Rhinolophus ferrumequinum: one gene and its partner. The protein of the gene in region 2 interacts with the protein of the main gene of each other region in a pairwise test. Links are inferred from orthologs where the notes say so. Each region holds a gene or a part of one and is shown on either strand. Other genes may lie near its edges.

What was found.
Region 1: the proteins of NMI (region 2) and GCSH interact in binary tests that used the Homo sapiens proteins (3 or more experiments, as listed by UniProt). The two-hybrid records come from large-scale screens. The link is inferred for Rhinolophus ferrumequinum from reciprocal best matches to the Homo sapiens genes NMI and GCSH.

What each region holds. Positions count from the first base shown.
Region 1 is NC_046298.1:27,235,264-27,246,019, reverse strand, and holds the start of GCSH (glycine cleavage system H protein, mitochondrial), read left to right. Parts: upstream 1-6,051; 5' UTR 6,052-6,155; coding exon 6,156-6,303; intron 6,304-8,636; exon of another isoform or gene 8,637-8,665; coding exon of another isoform or gene 8,666-8,720; intron 8,721-9,864; coding exon 9,865-9,944; intron 9,945-10,756. UniProt on the Homo sapiens protein: The glycine cleavage system catalyzes the degradation of glycine. The H protein (GCSH) shuttles the methylamine group of glycine from the P protein (GLDC) to the T protein (GCST).
Region 2 is NC_046291.1:69,053,305-69,064,597, reverse strand, and holds the start of NMI (N-myc-interactor), read right to left. Parts: upstream 4,904-11,293; 5' UTR 4,861-4,903; intron 4,787-4,860; 5' UTR 4,596-4,786; intron 4,218-4,595; 5' UTR 4,125-4,217; exon of another isoform or gene 4,109-4,124; intron 1,477-4,108; 5' UTR 1,471-1,476; coding exon 1,387-1,470; intron 421-1,386; coding exon 325-420; intron 1-324. UniProt on the Homo sapiens protein: Acts as a signaling pathway regulator involved in innate immune system response.

The DNA.
Region 1 (10,756 bases), on a different chromosome or scaffold from region 2:
GGTTTCTTGCTTAGACGGGTTATAAAACAATTGTACAGTCAGAGAGTTCTCTTTTTACATTAACTGTCAGAAAACACAAAAGAAATCTGCCACTTTTGATAAAAACCTGAGTATGGTTAAGTTTTCGGTATTATGTAAAACCCTCATTTGAATTGGATTAATCAAATAACCAAAGTTTGTGTTTATTTCAGAAACTTGTAAATTTTGTTTCCTTGTTGGAATCAACAAGCCATTTTATAGTCAGATCCTGAATTTTAAAAGTACTTTTTAAGACCAAATGATTTGCTTCATAATCTCCCTTTAATCCAGTGGTTCTCAGGCCTGGCTCCTCAGCAGAATCACCCAGGGAGATGATCACACCCTGATACCCAGGCCGTATCCCAGGCCTACTAAATCGGGATGTCTGGGAACACAGCCCCAGCACCAGTATTTTTCACGGTCCTCTGGTTATTCTAAAATGTAGCTGAGGTTGAGAACTGTGCTCTAATTAGAGCTAATTGCCACCATAACGGAGGGCTTACTTGGTTATCTCCACATATGTGAACAATCAAATGCCATGAGAGAAGGTTAGGTATTTTAAAAGAGGCAGGAAAAAGGTGCTGCAAGAGTCCAAGGACTTAGCAACCATCCACACCAGCAGCTCAAAAGGGAGGAAGGGGAGGAAGATTCTGGAGGGCAGGACATTAGGTAGAAGGATGGCTTTCAGTAGGGCATTATATATGCATATGAAACGCTTTTACAAACTTAAGATCACAGAATTTTGTTCTATAACCTGTTTCCCTTCATGTCAATAGATATGTATCTGTGCCATTTTTAATGAGACACCATTAAGATGGAATTGATGCAAAGGCATGAGAGGGGATTGAGGTACGGGGTGGGATAAGGGGAACAATCTAGAGTTTGGAATCACACACCTGGATTGCAATTATCATTCTTCTCCCATTAGTTATGCCACTAGCTCTGACCTCGTGCCACCCCTCTGTCCTTATCTGTGAAACGGAGATAGCATATTTCCTCATCCAGTGGTCTTAAAAGTCAAATGACACCATGCAACTAAAGTTCATTAGGCCCTCATTTAGCACAGCAACTGAATGGTTGCTTCCGTCCTTCCTTCAAATGTAAGGGTGATGGGTACATTCACTCAAACAGGAGGACGTGGGGGAGGGACCCCAAACTGGGAGGAGAGGCTCACAGAACTCCTTCACCTCCGTCCACTTGACCCTGGGAGGATTCCTCCCTTGGCATTCTTCCAGAGCTCTGCAGCCATTAGCCAAGACTGCTAGGTAAGCGGCCCCATGAAGTGTCATCTCCATCACCAGCCTATCCTGACTGTCATCCTCACGTCACCATCACCATCGTCCTCACTGTCACCTGCATCACCTCATCATCACTATTATATCCTCCTCCTCCTCCTCACCAATAGCATCACCCATTTACATCAGCAGCATCGTCATCCTCACTGTTACCATCACCGTCATTACCATGGGCACCATGATAAAACAAGGAAGAGAAAAATAGAAAATATCGGATTGGCTGTTGCCACATAGTCAGCCTTGTTTGGAGTGAGAAGGAAAAGGAAATAAGTGCAAATAGAGCCCCGAGTTGGCTTGGTGTTTGGCGATTGGCTGACTGGATAGACTGCATTTCTGGTCAAGGGGAGCATTTACAGGGACACAAAAGTTATGTAAGTTTTGTTTTGCTGACATGGCATTCCAAGCAGAAGTGGCTCCATCTTGGGCCTAGAAATTTATTTCAAGAAGTCATCTGGCAGCTTTGGTTTAAATTCTGAGAAACCACCAAACTGTTTTCCAAAGCAACTGCATAATCTCACATCCTAGCAGCAATGCATAAGGAGCTTAGTACATAAATCCCCAGCCACCTCTGATGGGGGTGGTGGAGGCATTCTGTCATTTCCATCAGAGGGAAGAAGGAACCGCCTTGGGATAAAGGTGAGCACATACCCTTGGGGTTCCCTGAAGGAGGTGAATCCCAATGCAAAAGCAACTCTAAACAGTGAAGCGACTTTGGCAGGGAACCAGTTGGACAATAAAACCGTGATTTCCCCTTAGAAAGAGAAGCCCCCAAAGAGAATGTTTCTATATGCATCTTGTAGTTCTTTCTCCCTCTGCAGCTGTCAGAGGAAGGAGAGATCGTCGATTTGCTGCTGATGAAAATACTCAGTTTCTTGGGCATTAACTGTAAAAGACAGGGGCCTGGAAGCAGCGGGGAGCAGCCTGAGTCAGAGGCCTGGCCCCCTCAACCTGCCCTAGCTGTGCCCCAGGTTTAAGCTGTTTGTCCACACAGGGTCATCTGTAGAGTAGGGGAGGCCAGAGCCTCGGGCCTACACTTAACCAGGAATTCTGTCATCTCTCCAGTCAAAGTTTTTCTGTGTCCATACATGAGTTACCAAACCTGGTGAGTAAAAAACTAACAAAAATATGTATATACATATGTACTAGTGCCACTACTGTGATAGACTGTTCAAATGTATTTCCTCTTAGAAATTAAACAAATATTGTCTGGAGTTCGAGAAAAAAAGTCTTCTCTACAGACTAATTATTTCATCTTCCTGGTTAGTCGGGGGTTGCCGTTGAATGATTTTAATTCAGGGTTTCTCAGACGGTCTGAGAAATGCTAATGGGTGTCATATTAGTTTGCTAGGGTAGGGTAGCTGGTACAAAGGACACAAACTGGGTAGCTTAAAATAACAGAAATTTATAGTCTCACGGTTCTGGAGGATAGACGCCCAAAAATCAAGCTGTCGACAGGGCTATGCTCCCTGGGAAAGCCCTATAGAGGAATCCTCTCTTCTAGCTTCTAGCACCTGCCAGCAATCCTTGGCATTCCTTGGCTTGCAGATGCATCACTCGAATCTCTGCCTTTTCTGTCAGATGGCTTTCTCCCCAGTATGTCTTTGTGTCTCTTCTCCTCTTCTTACAAGGACACTAGCCATATTGGATTAAGGACCCACCCTCATTCATTATTAACTCATCTTAATTGATTACATCTGCAACAATTTCTGTTTCCAAATTTGCTCACATTCTGAGGTACTGGGGGTTAGGACGTCAAGGTATCCTTTTTAGGGGACACAATTCAACCCATAACAGCTGTCGTCACCCCCCAAATGTTTCTACATCAAATAAATGTGGGCAACACTGGGTTATAAAAGGTCACGTAAATTCTTTAGCCGGGGGATTGTCAGAGCTTTTAATGTGCTGCATGTGCACTGTGCGTCTCCTGGGATGAGACAGCCCGAGCGACAAAGTGCGTAACGATTCCAAACCTCCTTGACCAAGGCGTCCAGTACTGCAGCACCTCGATCAGGGCTAGTCTTCCTTAGATGATACGTTGGGAATTGCTGATCTACACCAGCGGTTCTCAACCTTGACTGCATGCTAGCTAGAATCCCTAGACTTCATTCCAATAGAGCAGAATCTCTGGGCTGGGATCGAGGTGTCAATATATTGTAAGCCCCCCAGGTGACTCCAGTGTGCAGTCGGACTAGACACCGTAACCATGCTCTAGAACCACAGGTCTAGATAATAAAAGGCTCCCAGGCGTCTGTGTGGATGAGTACAAATTTCCTGTTCCTCACGCGGGGGAAGCACCTCATACATCCTCTCCAACTCACCTGTCTTCTCCTCCTCCTCACACACCCATTGTAGCAGACACTCCAGGTTGCCTGCTCCAAACCCGTTTCAGACTTTCCGCCTCGCTTTCAGAATCCCAACTTTTTTAGGTAGCCACCTACCCCTCCCATACAAGATCCTGTAACCACCTCAAGGTGAACCTGATTTGCCTTAGGAAAGGGAATTTATTTCCCTTGACAGTGAGCAGTTTAGTGTGCACATTACCCAGTGTGGCCAGTGAAAAATGAGGAGAGGTCTCCAGGACACTTCCAGGAAAGCTCTGCTTGCTAATAAAAAGAGACCCAAAGAGATGGGCTCTTATGCTGCTGGACATTGTCCGAGTAAGAGTCCCGAAACTTTGACAGCTACCTTGAGACCACAGGGAACAAGGAAGATGGCAGAGCAGAAAGATGAGAGGAACATGCATGCTTGATGAAGTCTTTAAACAGCTGACTTAATCAACCCTGAAGCTGAACAACTGCCAGCCCTTTATCTGGATGAGAGCTTAAATGTCTTTTGATGACAGTTGAATCAGTATCCCACCCTAGTACCCTGACAATCAAAACCCAAGATCCTTTATAGAGAGAGGCATATAACATGCAATGTACATAAAACCTTGGGGATTTCATCATCTTCTATCCACCCCAAACCCATAACCATTCCTTATTGTATCAGGTATGAACATGAGCTATACATGAAGAGATGCTCATAAACTAACCGACAGCAAGGTGTACACATGTCTCTGAATAGACTGGTACACAGACCTACCCAGAGGCATACAAAACAGTCTGTTTTAAACAGGGAAAGTTCTAAGATCTGGAGAGGTTGTAAATTATTCATTTCTTTTTCTCATCTTTCCCACCTAAACTCCACTTCTCTATTGACTGTAAATATCAAACTGGCAACTCCTTCCATCATGTTATGTATGGAGGAGAGACAGTTCCATGATGTGACTCCTGCCAAGGCCAGCTAGCTAGATCCAGACCACAAGAGATTGCTTCCCGTACTTCCCTCAAGAAACTATCTGAGCGACCCCCCGTGTTGGTTCCCGGAACAGGCCATTCCCCTGGTCCCAGCAAGCATGAAAGGCGATTTCCCCTTCTGTGGGCAGGTCCTACCCAGTACCCTGATCTATCCTGCCCTGTTCTACGTAATTCTTTAGCACCGGCCATGCCCCATTCCACTACTGGACAAGTTAAACTATCTGTGCCTCCAGCTCCTCATGTACGAAATGAGTTTACCTACTAGAAAGGGGTTTGGAGAGGATTAAACAGATAATGTTTGCACATTCCCAGACCCATAGCAAGGGCTCATCAAATGGCTATTATTTACTCCCATGAAAATGGAGCATGACAGCTCTTGCAAGGCACTGCACAGATGTGCCAGCAATCCCGATTTTATGTGAGGCAGAAGCTCAGTGCAGCAACATATGAGCCTTCCAAACAAACGCACACACACACACTTCAAAGAACCCACTCTGTAATATTTGAGGTGTGGGGCTTGAGGTGCTTTTCACGCCAGTGTTTCTTTGCTGATTCACGCCCACTCCATAAAATCTGTGTTGAAGGTGAGGTCTTTTCCAGAACTTAATTATTTTTTGTCTTCTTGGATGGATATATGTCTTCTGCTTTTCCCAGAAGACCTTGGTCACGGGGCTGGTTGCACAAGCAAGAGCCTTGCTAGATCTCGACTCTGCTTTCTGATTGCTCCTGCATTAACTGACTGGCTCCAGTAGAGTCTACACCAAGGAGCCACTCCGGATTCTTGGGCAAATACTTGCCCCCTGTATGTTTTATGATTCCGTCTGTCCCGTTTGGGTACTCTGAGCCTTTTGGGATCTGTAAAGTAATAAAGTGGATTCTTGGATTGTTTTCCAAAAGTCAAAGAGAAACTGCATGTATCAGCGCGCCTTTGACCAATGCCCAACAACCATCTTCGGCTGGAATGATTTTGTTTGGACCTGGCTATGAATCCCCACTCTGGATGACCTTGATCCTCAGTAGGAGGGTAGGACGCATCCTTTAACAAGACTGGGAGAGGCCCGCATTACCCTGGCACAAAGGCACCGTAATGTACTGGCCCAGCAGAGCCATTCCAGCCTGCAGCACTTCTCACCCCTAGAGCCAGTCACGTAGAGCGAAGTTGATGACCTAGCGCTTCCACTTCACCTAAAGCGACGCCCGGAGACGTAGCCCCACCCCTACCCGGGAGGCACCACCCATCCATCCCTTCGGCTGCGCAGCCCGCCCCGGTCACTCCCTCCGCACTAGTCCCCGCCCCTCGACCGCTGTCCCTTTTCGGGTTCAAGCCGTTCCGCTTGCCCACGCCCCTCCTGCGCGTCGCCCAATCCGAGTCGCGCCCCCTCGCACGCTGCCGTATCAGGCCCCGCCCCGCCCGGGGCCCGCCCCTGCGCCCCGGCGCAGCCGGCTCGCTCCAGTCCAGGGCCGCCCCCGCCCCCGCTCCGCCTCGACCCCGACTGCGCTGTGGCGGAGGAGGTGCACCACGACCCTCTGCACTCCGGCGAACATGGCGCTGCGATCGGCGCGGAGCGTGCGGGCGGCGGCCTGCAGCCTGCGCGCCGCCTCGGCGCCCGTCGCGCCCTGCGCGCCGCGGCCCTGGGGCCTGAGGGTGGGCGCCGTCCGGACGCTGCGCACCGGCCCCAACTTGCTCTCGGGTAAGCGCGGGCGGGCACGTGGGGCGAGCAGAACGGCCTCGGGGCGTGGGGAGCTGGGACGCCTCCCTCCTGGCCTTGATCTTTACCTCAAGTCCTCGCTGCCTCTCGCCTCGGGTCAAGCGAGGCGACTCCTGCGCACGCTTGTTATTGCTGGGATCACTAGTTCCTTGGCTGCTGCTCCCCTCTCCAAGTGGCGTGGACGACACCGCAGCCTTTGTCCAGCGGGTTAGGGAGTAGGAGGGGGGGAGGAGGCCTGGAGCACACGCGCTGTCGCCGAGTCCCCGCTCGTTCTGGCGGGAGCGTCATCTGCTCGCTGCTGGAGAACTCGGCAAGCGTAGCCAAGCTCCTTCGTGACCTTAGGTTAGCTCGCATGTGTGGGCATCGTGGACCCTAAGAGTGGAGACAAATAATAGGCTTCAGTTTGCTCCACGGACCATCATTGATAACTCTGAAGTAAAATTAAGGCAAGAGCACAGTTTTTGAAATTAAAGCACAGGGTCTAGATTTTTACTAGCTAAAGCGAGCAAAACTTTGAAGACCCAGTTATTTCCTAAAAACAGTAAGATAAAGTCTTCTGGACTTTTTACAGAAGACGTTCTGCTCAAGTGTATGTTGAGTCATGGATGTGTGTTAGGATCGCAATGAGGCCCAATTGACATGGACTTGAAGTAACCGGGGGACCTGCCCGTAAATGTCTTGGCCGTCTGTGCCCTTCAGCAGTTATCTCGGCGGAAAAACCGTTGTCTTAACCTCGTGGGCAAATACTTGAGACACTAACCAACTGCACCACTAAGAACTCGGGCTTCTTAGGGAGCATAGTAGGTCTGTGATGGCTGTGGTCTCATCAAGTGTATTGTTTTAGAAACCTGTTTGGGCCTGGAAGAATTGGTAAATTTATTTATTCCAAAGTCTGATACAAAGATGCTCATTCCCCCACCTCGTAATTATAACCCCTCAGCTCTGTTGATGCCACATATCAGTACATTACCAATTTGAATATAAAGGAAAAGCATTACTCAGATGAGACTGAATTTCAAATCTTTGTTTTTTGATTATTCAGTGTTTGACTGTTTGTTACGTTTTTGCATTTTCAAACAGTTATCTAGTTAAATATTGCCCTAAATGTCAATACCCAAGATCTGGATAAACACCTAGGTTTTTAAAAACAGAAACCCGAGTTCCAATTTTGGTTACTTACACCTTTTATGAACTATGTGATCTTGGTAGAGTCACTTAACTTCTCAGTCTGTTTCCCTCCTCAGAAAAATGGAAATGGTAATGCTACCTCACAGTTGTTGGGAGGATGAAATGGTATAATAACTGTTACATATATCCTGACACATAGTATTGACAAATGTTACTTGTTATTAAATATTAGTGTATAGAATCAAATAAACAAATGGTTGACCAATATTAATATATTTTATCTGACTAATGATTTTGAAAGAAGTTCCAAATTTTTCACAAGTTACTCAAAATGCCTAATTTTCTGAGGTCAAAAGCTGTTCCTCAAGGCTCAGTAAGAAAGTAATTATTTACCTAATCTCCTGTCCACTTTTTTCTTGCTGGGCCAAGGGTTACAGGAGAATTATAGTAATTGTTGTCTTTAGCCTAAATAGCGTGACCTAGTAAAAAGACTTACTGGACTTTGAAGTCAACTGGCCCTCGGTATATTTCGCTTAGTAACGTTGCTAATGCTTCCTCTATACTTGCTCAGTTGCTAAATTGAATGTGAGAGTGATCTTAACTCCTAAGATTATCTTTACAATTAGGAAGATGGCAAGGCCAAAATCAGGACAATAGTCTAAGAAGTCACGTATTTTATAGTTCCCCAGCCCTTACTTTAGAAGATATATTAGATTAAAACTGCCAATTCTAGAGTTTTAAGGGCATGATAGAGAGAATTGAGTGTCGTAGACAAATAACTATGTATACTAGATATTTTTCTCAGAATCCCCTTAAATTTTAAAAAATTACTTCACTCCAACTTTTAAGTGCTTACTCTATGCCAAGCATTGTTTAGAACTGGGAATACAAATATGATAAGCTCTGCTTTTGCTTACTTTGTACTTATGGTCTACTTCCTGGGGAAAACTGACAAACAGGCTTTATCTGTAGCATGTTCAGTACTGTGAGTGTGTTTGGGGGTCAGGGAGGGAGGAGGCTGAATGGCTCAGGAGCCCAGAGTTGGAGGGCTGGACCAGTCTTCTGTCAGGAAGGAGCTTCTTAGGTGAGATAGGAAATAGTTAAGAAACGGCAAACAGCGTTAGTTAGAGTGTTGCAGTCAGAACACCAAGTACAAACCTTAACCTTTTTATGAAAAGATCAGATTGACTTGAAGCATTCAGTTATTTGAAGTGGAATGAAGCAAAGCAAATTTCCTTTGTGTCAGACTTTGCAACTTCTTCCACTGAAGAGTAAGAAATTAAAGTTTTTTACTGATTTGGGGAAAAGAAAGTAATAAGCTATACTCTAGTTCTGGTGGTATCAGATCTGTGAAACAAAGTAGTTTAGTGCTGTTTTAAGTACAACTATCTTTTGGGTAAGGGGAAGCGTGAACTAGCAAGGCTTACTTTAAAGCAGTACTGGAATTACTGAACCATTTTCCTATTAATTTCTGATGTATTATGTTCAGAAAAATACTTCACTTTGGAATGTAGTATCTATTTAAGAAGATAGCATATGCTTTTTTAAAATTTACTTATTCCTTAAAGCAAGTATTTTTAACATTAAATCTTAAATAAGTTTTTTTTTCACATCTCTTGAACTTTGGTCAGTCTTTCTCCCAGGAATCCTTGAATAGTTCGATCATGTCTTTGAAGAGAAGAAGCTCATAAAGCCAAGGGCTAATCTGTCCAATGAATGTTCGGCAGAGCTTGACTTTCCACTAGTTTTAATGCCTTAGCTGAGGTGACTGTTTAGTTCTGATCTTATAGTTTGCTTCTTTAAATGATGGTAGCATATTTCTTCCAGGGCAGGCTTGAAATCAATTAAAGGAGAATTTTAAGAACTTCATTGAAGTTATAATTGTTCCAGGTCAATTTTATGTAAGATTTCACTTTATAACCAAGTTGCAATGAAGCTCTGTTAGGTCAACTCTACTAAAGAGGCCCATTATTATTTTTTAGGTTAAATAATTTATGAGCAGCAGTCTCTGGGCTCCTCCCCAGACTGATCACTCCAAGTCTGTCTTCAGAGGGACAGACTTTTTTGCAAGACAGACTAGTAGTAGATAAGTATACATATTTGAAATGTCCTCCAAAATTTTGTGTGTATGATCCAGACTAAGTAATGTTAGAGCAAATAATCAAATCTCCAGAAGATGCACAGGGTATTCACATCAATCCATATTTGTCGAAGTGATACATACCACTGTTGAGAAGATGTGCCATCTTTTCACATGATCTGTTTTTTTTCCTGGGCAGTGTACGACTGAAAAGCAATGTCACTAAGTCAAACACAAATACTGGGAAAGTTTTGCCTTTTGACAGCATTGATACGAAAAATGCTTTTTAAGAAATGATGATACTGCTTTTCTGAAATATTGGTCTTCTATTTTAGTGCGTAAATTCACAGAGAAACATGAATGGATAACAACAGAAAATGGTATTGGAACAGTGGGAATCAGCAATTTTGCACAGGTATTGGATTGTCTCGAAATAGTTAAAAGAGTCTCCTCTCACCTAAATTGGATTGTCTCTACCTTTTAAAATTTGTTTATTCTGCCCTTAGTATTTTGGGCCCTTTGATGGCCCTTAGAAAAATATCAATCATAAGTTAAATAAGTAAAACATAATTTAGTTAGGGCAGTATTGTAAGAGACATTGAAAGGTTAACATTTAAAACTAAAAGTAGGAAAATCTTATTCAAGAAAGAAATATGTTTGTTTTGTATTGGGGCAGTTAAGCAGAAAAAGAGCAAGCAAAGGTATTGACGGTGTTTTGTAGATACAGAGATATACACATAACTAGGGGGACATGAAGAAGAGGGAAAACCTAGATTGGTACAAATTACACAGAGGGAGAACTTTTATTTAGCCTATCTTTTTCTCTCTTAATTCCCGTGCCCACTCATCCCATATTTGAGATATTGTGTAAAAGAAAACAAGAAGCCAAATAGCACAGGTCAGTGATTTTCAACTTGATCTGTGTGGAGGGTGAGGCAGGAGGGGGAAAGGGGATGTAACTGATGGAAGTATATAGAATTCCTGAGAAATGTTGGAATATCAGGTATTGAGAGTCAATCACAACTGTATCTTCATTGACAGATCTGTGTACCTACTGAAGCCCAGTAGAGGGTGCTTTGTGAAATACTGTTTAAGTGTTGTCCTCACCTCCTAGAGTTTATCTATGAGGGTAATTACCTACATGGAAAATGACATACGAAAACATTACATGATGGGTAACCGGAGTGGTAGAAGGGGTGTTAACCCACTCACCTGATGGAGAGATCA
Region 2 (11,293 bases):
CTAATTAAATGGAAGCACATGAAATGCCTTCTTTTATCTCTTTTGACTCAATACCGTGTTTATGAAATTCACCCATGTTGTTGCATGTAGTTACAGTCTGTTCATTCTCATTGCATGTAGTATTTCATTGTGTGAATACACCCCAATTTATTAATTCACTCTACTATGGACAGATAGTGGGTTGTTTCCACTTTGAGACTCTTACAAATAGTGGTGCTATGGATGACCATAATGTTTTAAAAGTGAATTTTATATAATAAAATAGTTTTTTCTGAAAAATGGTGTCATTAAAAATGTGATACACAGAATAAGTAAAGGGGTTACCTGAGCGGTTTTGGTGGCCTCTTGTAACTCAACTTCAAGCTTTTGGATCTCCTCCTTTAACTGAACATTTTCCTTCACCATTTCATCAATTAATTTCTAAAAAAAAAAAAAAAAAAAAACTCAAATAGCACCAAAAATTTAAACAGCGCATGACCTCATTTTTCTACATGAATCAAAGAAGCTAAATGTCTTTCACCCTGAACAAGGCCAAGAAAGACATGAGACAGCCTCAAAATAAGTATGATCACATGAATAATAAATTTGTTGGATGTTTTATATCATTTCCTACCATTTCCAAATATTGTTATCTCCATTATACAAACAAGGAAACCACCTTTCACATTGATCAAATCACAGAAATTTCTACAGTAAAGCAAGGATTGACACCCTGATCTGAACCTAAGTTCAGTGTTCTGTCAACTCCCTTCCTGGTTATTTGTGACTACAATATGACTTTTAAATTGCACGTATATTACTCTGGGGCAATTTTAAAAATTTGCTTTGATTCGCATAGTACAGCTGCTTTGACAGTCCAGACATGGCCTTGGGTAAATGGTTTAACCTACCTGAGCCTCCCTTCCCTCTTTGGTCTGATCAGATAATTGTTAACTACTGTGTTTCCGAAAATAAGACCTAGCCGGACAATCAGCTCTAATGCGTCTTTTGGAGCAAACATTAATATAAGACCAGGTCTTATATAATAATATAATGTGATGTAATATAATATAATATAATACCAGCAATTATATTAATTTTTGCTCCAAAAGACGCATTAGAGCTGATTATCTGGCTAGGTCTTATTTTCAGGGAAACACAGTAAGCTCTTAACTTCTAGGTACAAATCAAATAAATGAGGGAGTGAAAAAGTAGCTAATGTTGTAAGCCTTGTAAGACAAAGTAGTAATATGATTCTTCTTGTAAGGCTTGAATGATGGAAGTAAAAATAAAATTTGGAAACCCTAATATCCTCCCAAATTCAAGGCAATGTTGGGCAAAGACATAAAAAACATGCTTCACTGTAAAACTAATAGATATAAATTAATTTTAATTTTTCCTTTTTACCTGGTATTGTTCATCTTTCTTAGGTTTGTCATCATGCCAATCCGCCTTAAGAGCTTGTTTTTCCTTGTCTTCACCAGTTGCCATGATTCCCTAATTATCATAACATGTTTAATATTTTAAAAATAGCATATACACATAAACTCAATAAGCAAAAATGACAACCTTTAAAACCCTTTCAGCAAAACATCTCTTCTTTGCTACATCTTTTTTCCTGTCAGCAAAGTCTTTATTATCATGTGGCTTATATGCAAACAAAGTCTATAATTCAATAATTTCACACCTACAAATATATAAAAGGGTTATAAAAAATCCTTTGCTTTTCAACACACCAATAGAATACAATGGGCATTAACATCCCATTGTAGTTAACATCTCAATCGTATTATGATGTTCCCTTTTAAAAGACTATTACTTTAGTCTTCTAGCTTTTTCTAGGACTGAGACAGGAAAAGTACAAGACAAGCATCTTTTGGTGCCAGAAAGCAAGGAAGTGCTCAAAGAATAATGAGGCCATGTCAAAAGGACAAAAGATCCAGCTTGAGGAGGTTGTCACTGGCCAAAATATGGGAATAAATTAATTGTAAGAGTAAATAATGACAGCAATGATTAAATCCACTGAGTGAAATAACTGATGTAAATAAATAAATTGAAATGTTGGTGAGGAAAGGACCATTTAGTTTCAAAATACAAAAAAACTGATTAATTTCAAAGGGGAAAAAAGTAACTTTAAAGTGGAGAAGCCAAGCAGACGCCACTATCATGAAATAATCAAAGTAAATAAGGAGATAAATCATGTGCCATCTGATAGGCTGCACTAAGAACACAGCATGACTTCTATGATATTCCTGCCAAAGATGCATAATCTGAATCTAAACATGAAGAAACATTACACAGACTGGCCTATTCTCTTCAAAAGTGTCAACTTCATAAAAGCCAAGAAAAGACTGAGAAACTGTTCTACACAGAAGGAGACTAAAGAGATCACAACTAAATGCAAGGCATGATTCTGAACTGGGTCCTTTGTTATACAGGATATGATTGGGACAACTGGCAAAATTTGAATTGAATCCAAGAATTAGATGGCAGTAATGTACCAATATTAAATCCCTGATTTTGAACACCTTTCTTGTAGGAAATATATGCTCAAGAATTCTAGGGCAATGGGTCATGAAGTTGGAAATGTATTTTCAAATAATTCACTGGGAAAAAAAGTTGCTTGTATTGTACTTGCAACTTTTCTGTAAGTTTTAGATGGTTTCAAAATAAAAAGATATATGCCTTACACATAGCTCTCTATTCTACCAACAACTGCAGAATCCTTATGATGCCATTCAGCATTCATCCAAGGTTTTACCCGGTCTAACCCAATTTAGTTTCCAGTCTTATTTAGACGATTCCTGGATTAAGTCCCTTAATCACACCGAGCCCTCAAAGGGTGGCTCTTTTCCCTCTGCCTCTCAAAATGTCACATCCTTCTTCTCCTCTTTCCTTAATTTCCATCGAATGAAATCCTAGAGTTCTTCAAGATCCATCCCAAACTTCCCCCCCAAGTTCTTGAAGCCTTTTCTGATTCCCCCAAAGGACGTTACTTCTCCTTCTTTTATCTCCCCAAAAGGAGCTTTAGTTATTTATGTACCTGTGTTATTTTCCAAGGTCACAACCTTGAGGCCAGAGACCAAGTCCACTCCTCCTTATACCCACTCAGAGCACAATACAAGTTTACACACTGAAAACACCCAAAATTTATAAAATTGTGCAGTATCTTGACTCAGGTATTCTGCTCAGGACATCCCAGGCACATGAAGTTCTCTTATTACATTTCCAGAAAGCAGAAACTGCAACATTATTTGTTTTATAAGTCAATATTCGTAAAAGCTTATAATAAAGACTCTCAATATATTTAACTCTATAAATATCCCCCAAACTTCTTATGGCATGTTTAGTATCTGGATACTTTCCCTATTTGCATGAGTGGGATGTACAGTAATAGCCTTCCTTTGATGCTGTCAGATGGGTGGCCCCTTTAAAGATGTCCACATCCTAATCCCCAGAATCTGTGAATATGTTAGGTTACACTATAAAGGAGAATTAAGGTTGTAGATTGAATTGAGGTTGCCAATCACCTGACTTTAAAATACCGAGATCATCTTGGATTATCAGTGTGGCCCAAGGAATCACTAAGGTCCTTTAAAGTGAAAGAGGAAGGCAAGAGACCCCAGTCAGAGTGAGATGTGCTAACAAAAGAATGGTCAGGGAGATGTAATCTTTAATGGCTTTGAAGATGGAGAAAGCACACCACTGAGCCAAGGAAGGTGGACAGCCTAAAGAAGCGGGGAGGGGAGAGGACCGGGAGGCAAGAAAACAGATTTCACCCCAGTCGCCTCCCAGAGGGAAAGCAGCCCTGTAGACAAGTTGATTTTAGCCGAGACTCAGGTAGGTCTTCCAACCTACAGAATTTTAAGATAATAAATGTGGTTTTTAAGCCACTAAATCCTTGGCAATTTGTTATGCCAGCGAATGAAACAAACAAAACAAAAAACAATACAAATCACCTCCACCCATCTACTACCTATTTTTCTGATATACTCATATTATTGTGGTGTCAGCATGATAGAAACGAATTTTCCCATATGCATGCCTGGCAGCAAAAAGAAGGAAACGAGGGAAAGGAAGAAGGTGGTGATTAGTAAAATGGTGATACACATTTATAGTTTTTTAAAACCTTCTGTGCGTCGTACAGACAGGGAAACACCGTCTTCTCCTTTGGATATCTCTTTCAAGACTTTCCCTGCATATTCTTCAAAGTAAGGCACGACTGCCAAACACTGCACCTGCCAAGGAGAGTAAAAATCCCTTAAGGAATCGGTTTTTCTAAGAACTATCTCTAGAGACGCTGCATGAGCAGAGGGGAAACGCAAACCATTTTAAGTTTCCGTTTCCGCAAAGAAGCAAAGCAAACTAAGAAGACTGGGGCAGAGGCCGGCCCGGCCTCGAGAAGGCACAGTGGCCGGGGGGCAGGCGCGCCCCCGCGCCGGCAGTGTCGCCGCAGCGACCCGGGCAGCGGGCAGTGCAGGGGCGCGGGGGGCGCAGAGCCCGTCCTTCCGCGCGCCATTTCCGCCCCCGTGGAACCCAGCTCCCTGCGAACCCCCGGCCTCTAGCCCCGACAACTAGGGGCAGGGATGGCGACCGGGAAACGGGGCCCCACTCACCCGCCTCGGCCCGCCGAGCGCCGCGCCCCGGGGCCCAAAGTGCCCGATCTTCCCGGAAACTTGGTGCGGCCGCGCGCGGGAGGAGCGCCGCCGAGTCGCCCGGAGCCCGGGAGCGGGGCGGGAACGTGCGGGTCCCCGAGGCTGGCGCTGCCTTATCCGGAGTGGGTGTCGCTCAGATGAACAGTTGGGTCCTTAAAAAAGAAAGAGAAAACTCAGCTCAAATGGTGATTCTCTTTAAAACCAACCATTGCTCGGAATACCAGACCTGGTGTCTCCAATGATTAATCGCTAACAAGTTACAGTTTTCACTTTCGATTTTTAAAACGTCGTTGTTTCGTTTTTGTTTTGAGGGTATCTATCCCAAAAGTATTCCTGAAGTTTCCATTAACTCTAATTTTAGGACATGCATTCAAAACCAGTCTTGTGTGTGTGTATGTTACTGGACCTACTGTTGGAAAAGTGGATTGAAACCAAGTCAAAACGGGAGTCTATTCAGATTGTATAACTCTCATTGTAATGTCTTGGTCATTATAACCTTAATCTACAAATGTTTACAGCCAGCACAAGGTCAACTTTTCTGTGTCTTTTGCAATGTCCTCTGGGCCCAGGAGTTGGGAAGCTGTGGTGTTCAGTGGGTTTCTATGACCCATGTCCCTTGAAAGTTTCTTTTAATCTTTTATTTTGTTGTGAAGCTTGTAAATAAATTCTTCACTAGGTGTGATCCTTTCCTTTGAAAATAAAACCATCTGGCTTATTTCAAGAACTGCAGTGTTTCTTAATCCTACACAAAGAACCACCCCACAGCTGCACTTGCTTATACAGGACAGGAAGTAAATGTACCAAATTAATTTCCAGGCATAAATTCTAATTTGTAGAGCTATGTAGTAACCGATATATAGTCATATATAGTAACCGATACAGTGGTCTAAAATAACTGATAAAAGTCAAATTCCTTCATATCAGTAATATTGATGGGAATCTAAAGTGGCTCTTCTAACAAAAAAATCAAGTGGTGTATGATGACTGTTGTGCTCATTAGTCCAGTTAAGTACAAAAACTCCATCTGTTGCAACTTGAGAATTACTTCTCTTCTACCTTAGAATTTCAAAGAGCATGAACTCTAGAAGTTACCTAGTTCAACCTCGTTTCTTCTTTTGTCTTATTTTTGTTTTTTATAAGAAGGATATAAGCAGCAGGACCATGACCAGAACAGGACATATCTAATATTGACTCAGATCCTGTTAAAGGGCGAAGGATGCTGGTAGTAGAGAAAGAAGCCCTTTGGGCCACCTTCATGCTAAAACCAGGCCAGGTGTAACAACAGCCTGAGTTCATCTCACCTTGAGATCCAGTACTCTGCAAAGCGCTGGGATTCTAAAGATGAGTAATAGTCAGCTCCTGGACATTAACAATTATAATCGCTAGCACCTACTGAGAGCTCCTGGGCATCTTGTAAACCTTTTTATTTTGCCAACAACAATATGAGACACAGGTATTACCATACTTTGCAGATAGGGACACTAAGGCTTGAAGAGATGATCCAAAATCAAGCAATTAACATATGATGACATTGGTATCATACTTTACTCTTGACCATGAAATCTGTCTCCACACTGTGTTCTGTGGTGAATAGAGAAGGACATCTATCGCCAGATAGGATTGGGAAACGGTGCATACTGGATTCACTTCTGGGGATTCACAAATGCACATCCGCACATTAAGAGTTTTGAGAAGTATTGTAGGAAAAATCAAGACACATTAAAAAGTTTAACTTTATTCCAACTACTTTGACCGTTAAATCCATTTTTTTTCATGGAGCAGCTATTAAAATCTTGAAGAGTTTCTAATGGGGCAATTTGAGGAACGCTTTATGAATGATGGAGCTCTGGACATGCCACCCCAAAATGTGCCTCTTAGCACATTGAATAATTTAAGCTGAAGGAGTTTGAGAAAACAGGAGAAGAATGTCATTCTGGCCTTTGCCCTACCACTCCCACTCTCCTCTGAAACAGGTCATAAAACCCTCCTGTGAGAGGTACATTCTTACCTCCAAAGACAAATGGACGCTGAGAAGAATTCAAACAAACAAGTCTTGCTGTTTCCCCAGTTTCTACACTCACCTCATACACCTGCACCCATCATGTTTCTCCACGACTGTACACTCTCATCAAACCCAGCATAAAATACTCAGATCTAACTGTTCCTTTGGGTCTTCATTTCCTTATGGAGGCTCCAATATCATGTAAAGCTTACATTAAACATATTTGTATGCTTTTCTCCTATTATCTGTTTTTGTCAGTTTTATTTTCAGACCCAGCCAAGACCCTAAGAAGTTAGAGGGAAACCTTCTCCTACACTACACTATAATATATTATTTCCTAATATAAAAGTTATTATTTACGGAATGTCTGTAACACACTCAATAAATACTATGTTGCACATGAGATGCCTTGACATCTTATGTAAATCTACACTGCCATGACATGAGATATATACATATATGCTACACATTTATCTCCCCTACCCGAAAGCAACGAACTCTCCTCCCAGACTTCCCTATAATTTCACACACACACACACACACACACACACACACACACCAGTGTTTCATACAGTACAATGTATGCTATGAAGAGGTGGGATACCAGCAGTAGCAAAACACAAAGGAGAGAATAGTCCGCTCTCTCTCAGGGAAAGATTCCTCCACAAAAGAGGTGAAGACTGCGTTGAGTCTTAAAGTTAGAGGAAGCAGACTGATGCAAAAGTTCAGGTGAAAAATTGCAAAGGCATGAAACAACTTGAGAGGAATTAAGAGTTTAGTCGGTGTGCAAACCATGAGAAAACGACCTGAAATCCATTGTATTATTGCTCTTTTTTTAAGAAAGTTCTTGGACACTAAGCTTACACTGCCGTTGCTAAGATTTTGGTGATTCCATTGCAGTTCCTCTTGGGGAAGTTGGAACACTTAAAATGTGCCCTGCATTGTAACATCATTCTAGTTTTCAAGACGTTTGCAATGGGAATATATAAAAGTAAAGGAATCTTGCTAATGTTGTAGATCTTAAATGTTCTCACCCCAAAAAAAGAAATGGTAAGTATGTGATGTGATAAAGTTGTTAGCTAACACTGTAGTGGTAATCATTTTGTAATATATAAGTGTATCAAATCAACAAGTTGTACACCTTAAACTTACACAATGTTAAATGCTAATTATATCTCAATAAAACTGGAAAAAATACATAATATAGTAGACAACAGACTTTTTAAAAAGTAAAGGAAAATAGTACTCCATCTCATACTCTGTACCACTCAGTACTACATAGTTAAGAGCATGGTTTTGATATCAGATGGTTTGAATGCCAATTTCAAGTTACCAAAGTTTCCCACCCTCGGCATTCTCATCTGTAAAATGGAGCTGTTGTGACTGAGATCGTGTTATATGTCAAGGGCTAAGCACAGTGCTTTACCCATGGCAAGTGCTCAACAAATGGTAGCTGTTACCATCTTTACATTAGTGAGACACTTTTTCCATTTTTCTCTCTCACACTTCTTCTGCTTTGTCTTCCTACCTAGAGAAGTACTTTGATGACAAAGACAATTTTTTATTTCTTTTGTTTCACCTACAGTTGCAAGTACAGTGACTATACATAGTGGTTAGATACAAGAGTAGGCATCTAATGTGCTGGTCCCAATGGACAGGTTTTGGGGTTTTTAAAAAATGTTGACTTCTTTTTATTATTATTATTAGTTTCAGGTGTACAAAACAATGTAATAGTTAGATAGTTACACCCCTCACAAAGTGATAACCTCCCTCCCCCAATCTATTACCCCTCTGACATTGTATATAGCTGTTACAATTCCACTGACTCCATTCCCTATGCTATACTCCACATCCTGTGACTAGATAGATAGATAGATAGATAGATAGATTTATATATATTAAATTATAGTTCCAATGGACAGGTTTTTACATTAGTGTATACGAATAACTTTGTATAAGTGAATAAAATATGATAGATCAAATATTTAGAAATAGTTCGACCAAATAATAAAAATAAAATGAAAGAATAAAGGATGTTATCTTCTTGAATCTTCTTGAATCTTGAGCCACCGATTTATCATGTAAACATAATTGATCAGTCAGAAAATTCTGTTTTGTTAAAGTGTTTAGAGAACGATGCCACTGCCTTTGACAATGCTAGAAAAGGGACAATTGAGTGTTTTGTTCATGAACAAGAGGTTCAAAAATAAAGATTGATCCTTAATATTCAAGCCTGTAAGATATGAAGCAGTAAACCTCGATATTATATTAAGGAAATTATTTTAAGGAAATCTGAGAATATTGCTGATTTTTTCCTGCTTTCCTTGTCTGATTGCAAACTGAATGCTGTTCCTGACAGAGCTTTTTTTGGATGAAGTGATGATAGGATAAACCTAATTGTTTGGCTTGAACTTTAAAACAATCACAGGAGAGAAAAAGCTCAAAGAGCCTTGAGATTCTCAGAATGCTTAAAGAGAGTGTAGACTTGTAATGTTGGAAAATATTTAATAAAAATATTAAATTCTGGTTCTGTTATCATCAAAAATCCCAAAGGACAAATAATCGGGCAAAGCATCTAACGCACAGTCCTGGCGAATGACTGTGGACTATGGGGAATGGCCTTCTATCCCTAATTTAATGGACCGCTTGACTGTTTGCTTGGGAACACACCACCATGTAGTGGAACTGGCGGATGTTTGCTTTCATGTCTCCACCAGCCGCCATGGAGAATATGTGAGAAAGACTGGCTATGCCCAGAAAGACTGGTGGTACCCTGAGAGGCCCTGGCTGTGCCCAGGAAGTCAGGCTGTGCCCAGAGAGAGTGGCGGTGCCCTGAGTGGCCTTGGCTGAGCCCAGGAAGTCTGGCTGTGCCCAGAGAGAGTGGCAGTGCCCTAAGAGCCCTGTGTCGTACGGGAGACCCTGCTCGCTGCGCCATGTGTCATGCAGGACGGCCTGCGGGGTCTCAGCTCCCGCTCCCCACATAAGAACGCAGGACATGGTGAGGCCAAAAAGGAACACCCACGGAGCCATAGGTAGGGCAGTCACACCACTATATTCTCGCTGGCGGCTGGGTTGGAGACACAGGAACCAGGAGCAACACAATTCTCAACCCTCACTGCGCCGCTTGCAGGCTCAGCCACCATCTCCTTGCTAGCCCCCATTTTCTGCTAGCCTAGCCACGGCAGTTATATTCATGGCTAATGGCTCACTGGTTACAGCTGATGGCCAACTAGCCACAGCTGATGGCCATTTGATCACAGTCGATGGCCATTTACTACCTGAGCCAGCACCTTTCTATGTGAGGCCGAGAGCCTGGAAACTGCTTTTTGGGGCTCCGTCCCCACACCCTGGCTGAGTCCAGGAAGTCTGGCTGTGCCCAGAGAGAGTGGCAGTGCCCTGAGAACACCGGCTGAGCCCAGTAAGTCTGGCTGTGCCCAGAAGCACTGGTGGTGCCCTGAGAAACCCTGGCTGTATCCAGAGAGCCTGGCTGTGTCTAGGATATTGCATTCACCACCAGGCTCCTCGCACAGGTCCCCTCTTGGAAGATGCTAGTCGTGTAGATTGTGAGGCGAGACCCTGTAGGGGTGGAGTGTGGGGACAGAGCCAGGAGTGCAGTTTCCAGGCTCTCGGCCTCACGTGGAAAGGTGCTCACTCAGGTAGTAAATAGCCATCAACTGTGATTGGATGGCCATCAGCTGTGGCTAGTTGGCCGTCAGCTGTAACCAGTGAGCCATTGGCCACTAATATAACTGCTGTGGCTACGCTAGCAGAAAATGGGGGCTAGCAAGCAGATGGTGGCTGAGCTGGCAAGAGCGGATTGCAGAGAGGCGGATGCCGCCAGTGAGAATATAGTGGTAATGACTCCCCCATCTATGGCTCCCTGGGTGTTCCTTTTTGGCCTCACCATATTCTGAGTTCTTATGTGGGGAGCGGGACCAGAGACCCCGCAGGCCGCCCCGCATGACAATAAATCAATGTAACTTCTAGGGAGCTCAGCTGTTAAGAGAACATGCATAAGCCTACTGAACACAGCTAGAGAAATATTAAAAGAAATTTATTTTGCTTGACTATCTTTGTTTTTTGAGTTGCGATTTTGTAGTTTGTTTTTACCTGAAGGACTGTATGAGAAAGAAATGATAGAAATTGCCAAGAAGCAAGATTTGGGTTGGTGCTTGAATAAGTTGTTTCTGATTATTTCTCTGGTTTGAATAGTACTCTACAAGAGGTGTCAAATTGTTGCAGTAAGGAAGTTCACTGATCTACTCAGAGTATTAAAAACATATCAGGCAAAAGAGCTCACCTTTTTGTTCTTAGTTAAGTTTGTTTTCTAGTTGGTCTTAGCCTAGTTGTATGTAGGGACATAATTTCTACTAAGCTATATCTCAGCATAGTATATGATTGCTCTTGATTTCCCTTGCAACGTGTGCCACAGTTACTAGAAAGGGAAAATGTGTTTGTGGACCAAAGGGTGTCTTGTAGGCCAGTGTTTCTCAAACTTTAATGTCCATATGCATCAGCTAGGGCTCTTGTTAACATGGAGATCCTGACTCCACAGGTGTAGGGCAGAGTTTCTGCATTTCAAATATGGTTAGGGGATCCTGATGGTGGTGCTGCTCCTTGGACTGCACTTTCAGTAGAAAGGCTACAGATTAACCAG